2 linked regions of the Drosophila melanogaster genome follow. The protein of the gene in region 1 interacts with the protein of each later gene in a pairwise test. Each region holds a gene or a part of one and is shown in the gene's direction. Other genes may lie near its edges.

The links.
Region 2: the proteins of IFT46 (region 1) and Ttc26 interact in a two-hybrid assay, tested with the Drosophila melanogaster proteins (one large-scale study listed by BioGRID).

The regions. Positions count from the first base shown.
Region 1 is NT_033779.5:18,612,933-18,620,055, reverse strand, and holds IFT46 (intraflagellar transport 46), read left to right. Parts: upstream 1-3,949; 5' UTR 3,950-4,236; coding exon 4,237-4,422; intron 4,423-4,547; coding exon 4,548-5,612; 3' UTR 5,613-5,717; downstream 5,718-7,123.
Region 2 is NT_033777.3:15,771,215-15,778,337, forward strand, and holds Ttc26 (tetratricopeptide repeat domain 26), read left to right. Parts: upstream 1-3,201; 5' UTR 3,202-3,281; coding exon 3,282-3,284; exon of another isoform or gene 3,285-3,345; coding exon 3,346-3,510; intron 3,511-3,557; exon of another isoform or gene 3,558-3,909; coding exon of another isoform or gene 3,910-4,107; exon of another isoform or gene 4,108-4,128; intron 4,129-4,672; coding exon 4,673-5,557; intron 5,558-5,619; coding exon 5,620-6,080; intron 6,081-6,139; coding exon 6,140-6,338; 3' UTR 6,339-6,426; downstream 6,427-7,123. Other genes in the region: CG45207 (uncharacterized protein), read right to left, coding at 3,910-4,107.

The DNA.
Region 1 (7,123 bases):
GCAGTCAGTGTATGAAAACATTTGCTTGCTAGACAGTAAAAATCATGTGCAATTTGTCATTGATAGGCGACACTGAAATCGGATTCCTCAGCCCCCCAAAAGCTAGCCATTTTTGTTTATTTATTCGGGTCTGGGGCTAAACTTCTGCGGAACTCGTTTGTCGGCTGGGGACAGCTGAGTTGGCCATAAAGGCAAGGGAATCCGGAGGGCAGCAAGTTCTCAATCTCAGCCCGAAAATCAATTTCTGTATCTTCTGTTTTAACACTTCAGCGAACATGGGAGCCTTGGCGCTCCGCTTAAAGGAATCTAAAACTAATTTAAATAAAAACCAATCTGGCATAATTCGTTGCCTCTGTGGGTAAACGACAAACTTTCAACCGTAGGACGATTTTCATTTTTATGGTGACCCTCCAACCACGTTTTCGCTTTCGCTGAACTTGAAGAAGATTAGAGGAGGAGTGGGAGGAACAGGAGGAGCAGCAGCAGCAGCCATGTGGCTCTGCATGCTGATGACTATCAAAAAAATCGAAAAGGAGAGTCCTTAAGCCCCGACACCCATCAACGGAGCCCAGAAAACAAAGCACAACACACATAAAAATGTGTAGGCACAGAGATAAGCAAACATTTTCGTTGCCTTTCCTTTATTTTCCATTTTCACACACACAATGAAAAGCGAAAGTGGAAATGCGCGCTGGTGTCTCTGCTTTCAGGCCTTGGCTGCGAAATGTCCAAAGCACGTTGTTGGGCACAATAGAATCGCTTATATAGGTCGAAGTCGCCAGTCGCGCTAGTTATAAGGCCAAGAAGAACCATAGACTATGGACCATAAAAAATTACAATAAACAGCAATAGCAGCCGCCGCAAATACAAATGAAAATGGCAGAAAGAACTCGAGGAATTTATATTGGCCGCAAATAAATGGTTATGCTGGACAGTGGACAATATACAAATGAAACGGACTGTCGTCCACAGTAACTGCTCCTCGTAGATCTAACAGCTACATTCTGTCTAACATCTATCTGTCTGTCCTTTTCTCACTCCCTCTCGTTGTGTCGGGAAATTAATTTGCGGTTTTCCATGGTATACGTATTTCCATTCACTGAATGGAAATTAATTAGCCACGCAGGGCTGTCGAATGCTGCATGTGGTTGGATGGCTAATAACCTCTGACTTGGCCAAGAAATTAGATTCTCCTCGCTGCAAATGAATCTTAATATTGGCTAAAGGCTGCAATTGAGTGTGGAGAAAAAGGAAAGCGAAAATGATGCCCTTCGATATTATTGATGGAGCATGGATTTTCGGTTAATTAAACCTAAGTTTGTATGTGAAGTGTATTTATGGTGCATGGGAAATTCCCTTTGGGAATAGCTTAATGAATGGTTTTATGATCAGTAATCAGTTATATTTATTCCCAGTTATTCCGTATTGTTGTTGTTAGTACAGCGACCCGTTTTGCAGTTTGCATACAACTCTTATCTTATAAGCTGCGCACAAAATTGATAAACTGGTTGTTACTCCACTGAACTCTATAAAACCTTCGCCAATTTGCAGAAACCACAACACCCACTCCAAAGAACCAACCCCTTCGAACTTCCTCACGCCCAACATATGGCCCCAAAAGTGGGCGGTAACAGGCGTTGGGAGACCCTCGTTTTATGGGCTGATAAAAGGACTTGGCAGCAATCAAAAACCGCAAACATGTTAACCGTTAATGCCCCCAGACACCTATAAGAGTGCTCAGTCCTTTTCCGGGTCCCGTGATCCTGGCTATATATGCGCCAAATATAAATTATATTTAAACAAAATGAAAAAAAGCCCAAACCAGAAAGTTACCATCCGGTTACAGGCCGCTCTTTCTGCCAGATCTCAATAATTCAAAACAATTTCGTTTTATTGCCGGCACTTTTTTTGGGGGCTTTCATTGTTTGGCTCGCAATGGGGCGGGGCGGTATGTGGGTGGTGAAGGCGGTAAGGGCGGGGTGGGATTTGTATTCCCCTAGAACGGTTTAACCTCAACAGAAGCATATTGACCCCGGCCAAAACATGGTCAACCCTTTTTAACTCTTGCGAGGGTCGCGTGAAAGCCAACGCGTAAAACGGATGAGGAATTAATGATGTGCACAGTGAAAAAAAAGAGATTCCCTATATACATTTTGAGTTTTAATTAGGAAATATTTGAAGAAAGAAATTTACTTAGTAACTCAACAACTTAACAGGTTCGATTATCTTTCCCTTCCACTTCCTCCTTCGTTTTTAATGATTAGGCCTGTATTAAATTCGTCTGTGTGATAATATAAATGTACATATGTGGTGGAATCCCCCGCAACTTACCGTTACTCGATACGCGGGTCTGATGAAGATGAACGGGTTCGTAATCCTTTTAGCGTCGGTTTAATGAGAAATTCCTTCACAACCACTACACACACACACACTCCAGTCCAGCGGAAGGACACACACGGGCAAGCACTGTCCTTTTAATTATCCCAAAAAAGGAGTGTGTGCAAAAATATCTTTTGGCACCCGATCAAATTGTTTTTATTGCCGCACTGGTCCGGCTTTATAACCGTTAATTGCCGTTTGCTTTTGTGTTTTGTAATTCGCAATTTAATTCAATCAAAAGTCGTACAGATTCAATTGACACACAGTCACTTCAGCATTTAATTAGTGGCCAATGCTGCTGCTGTTATCGCTTATTATTAAGATACAACGTGATAAAACGGCACCAGTATACGCGCACCAAAGACGAAACAGTCGCAGTTACTTTACGTCCGCACGCCAGAAGATTCAAAAGCCGAATGCCGATGAATGGCTGGCAAAACAAGTGGCGAACTCCCGCTGCCGTCGCTGTTAGTTCCAGATAACAGCACGTTAACAGAGTCAGAAAATGTTAACGCTCTCTCGCTGTACCCATTAATCGTAGGAAGCTGGGGCATATATATTTCAGAAATAATATGTAACAGCATTATCTCTTGGGTACTGACATCATTAATATAAAATAAAAATAAATAAATAATACAAACGACTCGCATAATAATAATAAATCTAAAAAATGCATTGATTACTAAATATTTACATTGTACAAATTAAATAGTCTTAACAACAACGGTAAAACCAAAAACAATTTTAAAAAAACTTCATATTTCATTAATTTTTTTTACATTCTTATAAAGTTTAATACTTTCATATTTATTTCAGCCGTGCGTTCTAAAGCTTGAGGGTTTCAATTGAATAAAAACTTTAAAAATAGTTTTTTATTCTCTTTCGGATTGTTTTCCATTAATTAATTTAACTTCGGTATTTTTCGGGCAAAAACATATTTGTATCGTATGGTCCAAAGAAAGGGATGTTCGCTAAGAAAAAGGTGTTTTTAGATATTAGACCATTATCAAAAAAAACCCACATATGTTGTTTTGAACATCGTTATCACCTCTTAAAACTATAAGCATTGAAATTTGGAAATAAGTTCCGGAAAGACGGCGCCTTGTGTAAATGTAAATCTATTTGGTTAAGCCTTTTATGGGCACTTTGAAAGTGTCCCAAATTTCGCATGTTCATTAATAAATCGGCGCCATAAAATTCTCTTTAAACAGTAGCTACAAATTATTTAAATGGACGCAGGACGAACGCCGATGGTAAATCGGTTCAAAAATTGAATGTAATTAAAACCCTGGCCCATAACAAAGGGCAACTGTTTCAGCTGTAAATGTTTACGCAGGCCAAAAAGGATATGACAATAACAACCACTTGATGCACAGAGAGAAAACGTGTGTACAAAAATTATAATTGTATTGTCTGTCATATACAACAGTTTCGAATAATGCAAATTCTTAAAAATGAATGCACATATACGTACTTCCAGTTTAAACACACGAAAATATTTCTCGCAGTGCAGCGTAGTGGGTTGCGTTGTCAGGACGACCACATCGACATCGACACCGGCATTGGCCAAAGCAATTGACAAGTTTCCAGCAGGTAAGCAAGTGAAAACAGAAAAAACGACGCGGAAAACGCTGAAAAGGAAGAAAACTCTGCTCTGGAGATAGGAAACAAGGACGAGGACCCAGCACCTGCAAAAGGAGCGGAAAATTGCGGGACAAGTGTTGTGCGAATTTCGCGGAAAGCCAGGAAGTGGGCAGGAAAACGGTGAAAGGAAACTGAATAGCTCGAGAGGACTCGCAGCTGGAGAGCTATTTGAATCTGAATCTGAATCCGGGTCCTCGCAGCTGGTCCTTGGCCATGAACTTCTACGACGAGGAGATCACAATCGGCGGACCCGACTCCAAGCACCTGAGCAGTGTTCAAATGGAGCCCCGAAATGGAGGAACAGGCGGTGGCAGAGGTGGTGCTGGCGGTGGTGGACCAGGAGCAGTGGGCGGAGAAGGAGCTGTACGAAGAGCAGCCGCAGGCAGGCACCGTCGAATGGTGAGTGGTAAAGAATTTCCACGGTGACGAAATGAAAATAAGTATTAAGGAGCAATTTAAATGCGTACAATTCTTGTTCAATGAATATAATAATTTCATATATGCATATTCCTTCCATGCAACAGTTCCAAAACAACTCTACTGATGACGATGGTCTGCTGCAGGACATCATTGATCACGATGACGAGGCGGAGGACAGCGAGGATGACGATGACAGCGAGATGCAGCTGCCCCAGGGCATGACCATGGGCGTGGGAATGACGGGTCTGGTGCCCGGGCCGAACATGCAAAAGCGGCCGGGAAGCAACCGAAGTTCCAAGCAAGTACCGGATGACACCCTGAGCTCGGGCAGCGAGGAGGCCGCAATGGGTGGCAGAATGGGATCCGGAGGAGCAAGAGGCGGAGCCAAGCTACCACATCAAAAGCTAACGCTTCCCATGAGGGGAAGTGCTAGTGGAGCAGGAAGATCTAAGCGGCAGGATGATCAATCCTTTATTATGAGTGCCGACAAATGGGAGGATCTGTCCGTGCCCGGAGAACTCAAGGAACTCTTTCCCTACATCGTCAAATACACCCCGCAAACGATCGATACTCCGTTTCACCTGCAACCTTTCATCCCCGAGTTTGTGCCCGCTGTGGGTGATGTGGATGCCCTTCTGAAAGTCCAGGCTCCGCCTCTTTTGCAGCCCCAACGCCAGAAGGATCTGAACGATCACTTGGAGAAATTGGGCTTATGGTTGCTCGATGAGCCCTCTGGCGCTCAAAGTGAGCCCAGTCTGCTGAATATGAAACTTCGGTCGGTACTGAGTGGCAGCATGGGGCGAAATCCGCGTCACGCCTCCTCCGCATCACTGGTTCCCACCGCCCGATCGGGCAAGGATATAGAGAAGTGGATCACTGAGGTGGAACAAGTGCATATGACTCAGTCAATGTACGATGTCCAGCCCAGAAAGGACATAGATGCCCTCCTGGAGGATTGGCCGAGATCCTTTGGCGATGAACAAACCATTAATGCCCTTGATCAGGCCTACAGATCCTGTCTGCAGCAGAACATTTCTGTAGCGGAATACGTGGGAGTTCTTTGCGAGAGATTCGGAGTGGAAGGACCTTTGGAGTCGCAGGCGGACTACATCCATAATGTCCAGACACTCTTTGCCCTCTACTTGGCCGCCAGTCAGGCGTGGGAATAATAGATGCATATAAAACATAAATCATACAAATGATCAAGGAAATCAAAACATAATTTGTTCTTAAAATATATGTTTTAAAGTTAATAAAATATTTATTCTTATAGCTTACAATTTATTTTTAATTTCTGTTTTGTATCTACTAAAGAAGTGTAATAGAGATCCAGACACAATTACACCTGACTGCAAAGAATTTAACAATTATTGTTAAATTATATAACTTATAATGCTATTTAATCAAATATTCATCGAGCATCGTATATATTTTCTCAGTGCATCGGCTGGTAGCAGCCCCACTAATAACGCTAATGGCTTCGATTAAGTGACAGCCAGACGGCGTTTGTTTGCCCCTCACGATGGGGGGATGCCCCCATATCCTTCCCTTACTTTTCCCTTTGTGCCAGGACCTGGCCTTAAATCGTTCGGAAAACGGTCAAGCCATGGCCGTGGAGCTAAGGTGCAATAAGTCTGGTGATTGAGAGCAAATACGGTTGTTATGAACAAAATGGGTGGCCAAACAAATTCTAACCAGCATCGCATCTGTAAATGTCATAATCAGCTAGTAAACGACTATCCAATTTGTCAAGCTCTTTCCAGAAAATATTTACCCTCGAGCTTTAAGTGATTTATGAGTGAAACTCATTTTAACTTTCGCAAAACTAAGATATAGATATACTTTAAAACATAATTCGGGGATATACTTTTGGCTGTAGTAGCACCAACAAATTAATTTGTTTCACCATATTTTTCGCTCTTTTCGACTTGCCAGCGGGCAGTCGCGAATTAAATGAAAATCTCCTCGAGGCGCCAGACAAGCAAGTTGAAAGGAATTCAACTACAGATATTAAAGGCAGGGAAGAACTTGAAGTGCAATATTCAAATTGAATTGAAAACGATGAGTGTTGAAGTGAAATCGTAAATAGGTGCATATCCTGTAAGATGCACAAACTGCATGCTTTGCAGTAATAATCATTCGGCAAATAGAAAGTGATTTACAAAAGAAACAATTGTGGATCCGTTCAGCTTTGGTTCTCAACTGAATACCCCACTTAGCCGGCCTGCAGTTTCGACCATCCCACTTCAGTCCATAAACCAATCATGCACTTCATCAAACACACAACAACAGCAGAAGCAGAAGCAGAAGCAACAGCTTCGCCAGAACGCAGCAGCCGGCGATGCCTAATTAGGCCCGCTTAAGACAACACACTGACCGGGCCAAAAGCAATGGGGCCAGGTCCGATGGTCGATGGTCTGCCGGAAACAGCCTTAATTATGCGTAAGCCGTAAAGAGCCCATTAATGTCATTTTCGTTGCATGGCCAAAGGACGCTGGGCGTTGGGTGGTGGGTGGTGGGCGTTGGTACTAATGTGCTTGGTGGGCGTAGGGCGTGACAAACGCATGCTTGATCAAGCGAAACGGGACTGTACTAATCAAGCGGATTCTTATCTTCTAGATAGGGAGAACATAAAAAACAATCGGGATCTTTTATATAGTGTATATAAGGGCATAAGGAT
Region 2 (7,123 bases), on another chromosome or scaffold:
CTTCTTCTACTTGTTACCTACTTTTCAATGAATAGAATCTACCTATTTTATAAATAGGTTCTGCAACACTGTACTCAATGCACAGCATTCAAATAAAGTTACTATTTGATGAAGTTAAAAGAGTGATTTTCGTTCAATCCACCCAAAGCTGAAAGCCAGAAACAATTCGAAATTGAATCACAGTGACCACTTTGTGGCATCACTAATCAAAAAACGGTCAAAATAGAGCTGCATAATATGCTCTCTCTGGCTTTTCGCACGCAACCGATATTCAGCTGTATGGGCAAAATGCAGAATTTATGTTTTAATTAAAATATGTAAATGCGCCAAATCGTGTAGAAAGCTTCGTCAAGAGCCGCTTGGCCGAAAGTGACCGGGCAAAATCAGCCAAAAACATTTCACACATTTACCAATAATGCGATTGCCGCAAAAATTAAGAGCAAATCCGCCGATGTTAGTGAGTTTGTGTGCTGAACAAATTTGAAAATGTGCGCCGCTTGTTCAAAAACTGCGAACCGCGAAACAATTTAGTTTATTTGCTTCTAATTGCAAACAACAGTTGTCTGATTTCTTTGCATACATACATATATGGTTGTATATACGACTATATGTATATGTTATGTTTCCAATTTCCCTCTCTGGCGAACTAACGAATTTATTTTGGCCAGCGAAAGTGGTGCTCTTTGATATTTCAGCTGGTGCAGTCAAGGCTGAAAATCGATCCCAAATCGCAGATGGAACAAATCCACTGAATTGCCCGCAATACTTTCAACTATTTCAAAACATTTTCCGAAGAGTTTAACTTCATTTCGCCCGTTCATCCTTGACCAGAGCCCAATTCGTAAAGTTCACTGCCCCATTATTATGCATGCTTCAGTGGTATTCAACATTTGTGCTAAATCCAAACTCAGGCGTCGTCATCATCATGACCAATAAATTCGCCGAGATGTCCATTTTTATTTATTCTCGCATTTCCAGTGTTTAGTTTACGCTTGAGAAAATCGCCATTTTCCCAACTTCATTGTGAAGAAACATTTATATATGCAACTGCAGGCAACATGTGCCCAAGAGTCCTGCGAAGAAGACCAAAGTCCAGGCTCTGCTACCAAGCAAAAAAAAGAAGAAATAAATAGAGCCCAAGGAGCAAAAGGAGCGAAAGGAAGAAACAAACTCAACTCAAGTCGACTCTGTCATTGCCGTTTCAATTTCCGTTTGAATTTTGCACTTCATTTCGCAAGTTCGCAATTTTCCTTAGAAAAAATCCAGTCCAAAAAAGGACGAAAAAAAAGCAGAGAACAGAAGGCAATGCAAATACGAAAGTGTATAAACAAAACAAAACGAGCATACACTCAATGTGAAGCAGAAGATGACAATAAATTGTCACAGAGGGAAAAAAGGAGCGTTGGAAAAATTGTAAACACGAACAGCTCTCCATTCTAATGATGGAAAATCATGGGCCCAAGCGGGAGACAATTGCACGTAACAGTGACTGGCAAGTCTTCTGTTTTCCAACGAAGTCCCCCAAAAAATCCCCATCATCCACACTGCGAGAAAATGTACTGAGCCAAGTGTGCTATAAACTTTCTAAATGAAATTTAAAGTAATTTTAAGTCACAGATTAATGTATAGTAATGTATTAGTTTACATAACTATCTATTTACTTATCTGTACAACAGTTTGATATTCCAATGTTATCAGCAAAAAATTAAATTCTAATTTTTCTAAGTGCACCGGCATTGGCATTGCCTGCTGTTTATTTGTTTGACAAATAACGAGCCAAGCCCATAATGAAGGAGGTGCAAATGATGTTGGCATTGTTTATTCGACTGCGAAATGTAATAGGCGCCTTCAAGGAGCAGGACCAGAAGGATCCAGCTGGGCGGGGTCATGACTCCCAGATTTGCTTTACGTTTTTTATGGCTGATTTGACGGGAAACGGAAACGCGAAATTGCAAAAGCGCAATAAAGTGTAGCATAAACAAAGGCGCGTACGCCGAATGACTGCCTGCTGGATGGAAATATATATATATATATGTACATAGATATACATATATAAATGCTACAACTTGAAAGTAAATTTGTTTGCCTTACTGTTGGTGCTGTTGGACTTATGCTTTATCTTGTTTTATTGCACGCAACGAACAGATTGTTGTTCATCTTTTATCCGCGTTTTATATTCAATTGGTTGGGGTTTCCTGTTTGGGAAAGTAGCAAGCTGCACTTCTGGCTTACCTCTTTCAATTTATAGTAATTTCATTTAGCATTTGCGGTTTAAAGAATACATAAATATTCTTAAATCAATCTTTTCTCCCGTGAAGCATAATTGTGAAGCATTATTTACAGTTTGCTCTGCTTGGACTGTTGTTATTTTCCACTTGTTTTTCCACTTGATGGCGTTCGAATTTGCACTGGAATAACAAAATTCTACAGTCATGTCTATCACTCGAAATACATGTGTTTGTGAGCCATTATGCAGTGTCAGCAGAGTTGAGTGAAAACAGGAGAATTCCTAAAGTATGCCACCCATGCCGAGGCGTTCGGATTGACGCATGCATTTCTCGCCGGAGGCCGCCTGCATGCATATTTATGATTCGTGTGCGTCTTATAAATAAAGAAATTGCAAAATGAAAATGCAAATGCAAAAACATCAGTTCCTGTGGAACTGTGTCAACAACGCGTGCCATAAGTCTACCTGTGCTCACCCAAAACCGAGCCACAATCTGACCAGAGTCGTCTTGCACTTCACATTCAGCTGGTGTTAAGTTGTTGGGTATATTTTCATGTCTTTTCCAGCTGAATAAGAAAAAAAATCTAGCAATAAAATGTTTAATTTTTTTCTATGAGTTGTAAGCATGCTTATTGAACTGATATTATTAATAGATTATATTATTTAAACTGTTTCATGAAAACCACATTCAATTATACCCCAAAGAAAAAATATTTAAGGGGTATGAAGTCCTGCTGACATCATCGGAAAATGAGAAGACGATATCCCAAGAATTAAGGGTGGCTGTTCCGACGTATCAACAGTTGGTTCCCAGCTGCAGTTGAGGGCAAGGATACGGATAGGATTGCGCACAAGTATCCAGAAGGGGCGCTTTCTGGGCGCAGTGAGGCGTGGTCGAACTGCTTTATCGACGCTATGTAGGTTGCCAAGCGACCGTAACCAAGCGTTGCCGACGAAAACAGAAAAACGCAAAACACACAAGACCCAAACACCGAGGAGCCAGCTGGGCAGTAAGGAGCGCAAATCCCGAGAAAACGAACGGCTGTGCGAAAAAATGGTAAGAAATGTGCCTGGAAAATGTTATCAGATACTCCGAAGATACTTATGTCCCTGTCCAGATACTTTCGCGCGGAAAAACCGACTCGGCGAGCTCGAGAAATGCCAGCGGAGGTCCTGGCAGTGGACTCGGCGTTGGAAGGCAGGCAAGGAAGACTCCGGCACCGGCCTCCCTAGAGGATTTCATCATCAGGCGGGACTACACGGGAGCCCGGGCTTTTCTGGAGGTGCGTATGGATTACTTTTGCCCCAAATTCAGTGGACAATCGTTGCTGAGTTTTCACATTTTATTTTCTTATACATGGCAGCATTAACTGCCGCAGCCAGTTTTAATTTAATTGGTATGGGTTGTTTCTTTACCTATATACATTATTTTCAACTAATTAGTGGTGATAAGTACACTTTTATGTGCTAATGTTGATTTTAGTTTAGCTTACAAAAGCTTTTTATAGCCAAATCTAAGGCGACTGATTAATTTCTTGTCAAAACACAAATCGATGGAAACCAATCAAATATTACATCAAAACAAATTTGTTTATTTGCTTAACTTATAAAGCAATAGTGCACAATAAATTATTCAGCTTAATTCGCGTTCGTCGGAATTACTCAACGAAAGTGAAGTTAAATTATCCAGAATACGCCTCGAAGGTAAATTCATCGAGAGGAACAGCAGGTGCATCTTCCGGGAATTGATCTTTGAAATTTTCACACAATTCCGCATCACTTATTTCATCCAGGCATTTTTGAAAAGACGGCGATAAAGGATCTGCCTTAACTGCGATTAGCGCGATTAAAAGACACACAAACAGAGACAAGAATTTCATGGTAGAGATCACAATGCATTCTGACTAGATGTCAGCTGCTTTTATACCAGTTTGGAAGATGTTGAATTTGGCCTAGACTCGTTTTTTTGTGACTTACTTATATAGATTAATGACGCGTATAACTTTGCATCTCTTAGTCCGAATACATTAATCGATTGATAGCCATCCATTGTTTTCTGAACGACCACTGTAAAATTTGAGTCTACTGAAGTTCAATCTGTGAATTAATATATTGTGGTTCAAAGACATGTTACCTTTGTTTATTCATAATCGATTTGTGCTACCACAGAGCATAGTATTAGTTTTATCAGAAAACCACTTGCTGTGTTTGCCGAAACGGACCTGTTTTATACATAACTTGTTTTTCGATTAGCTAATTTTTGCATTTATACACAATGCTTTTATTAGTCACTATTAAAGCAGTGACGTTAAATGTCGTGATTTTTAACAAACATGTGTAACTCTCAATAATGGTATTAAAAGGAAAACAAATTATATATATGCGGTGTGTCAAGTGTAATGTTAAATCGAATTGTAGAATATCTAACTGGTCCATCCATTTCAGTTCGCCAACGACGACGAGGACGAGGAGGAGGGTGCTCATGGATCCAAGCAGAGTCAGGTGGATCAGTGGATTGCCTTTTGCAATTTCCATTTGGGTGACTACCAACAGGCGCTGGCCCAATACAAGGCCATACAGCAGGGTTCGTCAACTCCTGATGGGAAATTGGATCTCAACCTGGCCGTGTGTATGTTCTACTTGGGCTTGTACGAGGAGGCCCAACAACTGATGGCCAATGCGGCTGACAATCCGCTGAAGCAGCGACTCCTCTTCCACTTGGCCCACAAGCTGGGCAACGAGGAGGAGTGGAGCCAGCTGCAGGAGGAGCTGCAGGATTCCTCGAGCTTGGAACAGCAGCTCAGCCTGGCTTCGATGCACTACATGCGGGCCCATTACCAGGAGGCCATCGATGTGTACAAACGGGTGCTGGTGGACAACAAGGAATACCAGGCCATCAATGTCTATTTGGCCTTGTGTTTTTACAAGCTCGACTATTACGACATGTCCCAGGAGGTCTTGGATGTGTATCTCAGTCAACATGGCGATAGTACCATAGCTATTAACCTAAAGGCTTGCAATCGATTTCGTTTGTTCAACGGTCGTGTGGCCGAGCAGGAAATCAAGAATATAGCCGATAATGGCACCTTCGGAGCGGATCTTCTGCGTCACAACTTGGTCGTTTTTCGGAACGGTGAAGGGGCATTGAGAGTCCTGCCAGGATTATTGAATATCATTCCTGAGGCTCGCTTGAATCTGGCTATATACTATCTGAAGCAGGGCGATGTTCAGGAAGCTCATGCTCTGATGAAGGAACTACAGCCAACTTCGCCGCATGAGTACATACTCAAAGGAGTGGTCCATGCCGCCCTGGGCCAGCAATTGGGATCGGTAAGGAAATGGATACAGATCTCGATGGGGAAAGCAATGTTACCATATCCTTTTCCTTATAGAAAGAGCACATCAAGACGGCCCAGCAAAACCTGCATTTGGTGGGCAGTTCGGCAACAGAGTGTGACACTATACCGGGTCGTCAGAGTATGGCCTCCGCCTTTTTCCTCTACGAGCAATTCGAGGAGGTGCTGGTCTACATGAACTCCATTCGCAGTTACTTCGTGAACGACGATGTTTTCAACTATAACTTTGCCCAGGCGAAATGCGCCACAGGATATTACAAGGAGGCGGAGGAGTTGCTGATGCAGATCTCCGACATGGATATCAAGAACCAGCATACCTACTGCATGATCCTGGCCAAGTGCCACATACATTGCGGTCACCCTGAGCTAGCTTGGAATGTATTCATCACCAGGGATACGAATGCGGAGGCATTTATCCTGTTGCAACTGATTGCCAATGAGTGTTACAAGTGTGCCGAATTTTGGGTGGCAGCCAAAGCATTTGATATGCTCGAAAAGTAAGTGGATTAATTAAGTAGCAAAATTAAAACAATTTACAAATAATTGGATTTAACAGACTAGATCCCAGTCCGGAGAATTGGGAGGGCAAAAGGGGCGCCTGCGCCGGAGTTTTGTTCGCCTTGTGCACCAAGGCACAAAGAGGTCGTCCTGGTGGAGGAATCTCAGAGGTCATCGGCATCCTACGCGACTCGTCGAACTCGCAGGCTGAGGCCATGATCAAAACGATTCGAAAGCACATCAATCATTTTAAATAAATAATAAACTGAAGGCAAAATTAGATTTTGTTTATGTTAAGGCCAATTTCACACATATTAATACAATAAAAAGTTACTTTTCAAAATCAAATATTTATATGATAAGCTTGGCAAAATTGTGGTCGCCTTTCAATGCTTAAGTGAAATCACTTAAAATTGGTGTACTATTTTAATAATTAATTTAAATTTGGTCAGCCGCAACTCAAGTCAAAGACGATGGATTTTGGAGAGCTTATTTAAAATGGAAATAGCTTCTAAGTGGTGAAAAACGATACTAATTCATTTGCAATTGGCCTGGCAGCAGTTTTCACATGATACCTGATTAATTTGCGGCATACACGAATATAATTTGTATCCGCAAAACAATTTGGTTAATTAATTGAAGAGCAATTTTATCAAGAAAATTGAGACAGGCATTTCAAAAGTTATGCCAGTGCCAGCCGCTGTCCACTTAATAAATCAGGCGCAGCAACTTTCAAAAACTAATTGATAATTAATGAAATAAAATCCCGTCTTCATCTTTTGTTGCCTCTGACGCGCTGCCAACGAAATTCTCGGCTCAATTTAATTCCCTTGAGAGGCAATTATGCCTGAAAGGAGGAGGCACTCCTCCATTAACCCCCTAAAGCCCCTATACACACCGCTTTCTTTGCCTGCAGTTTGCTTTTGTTCAATTTGCTGGCCATTTCGCCTGCAGGCCAAAGGATCCAGGATTCTGGCCCTGGAATGGAAACAGAAACAGGACCAGAGGCCCAGCAGCAAATGGGGGAAAAGCATAATTAATG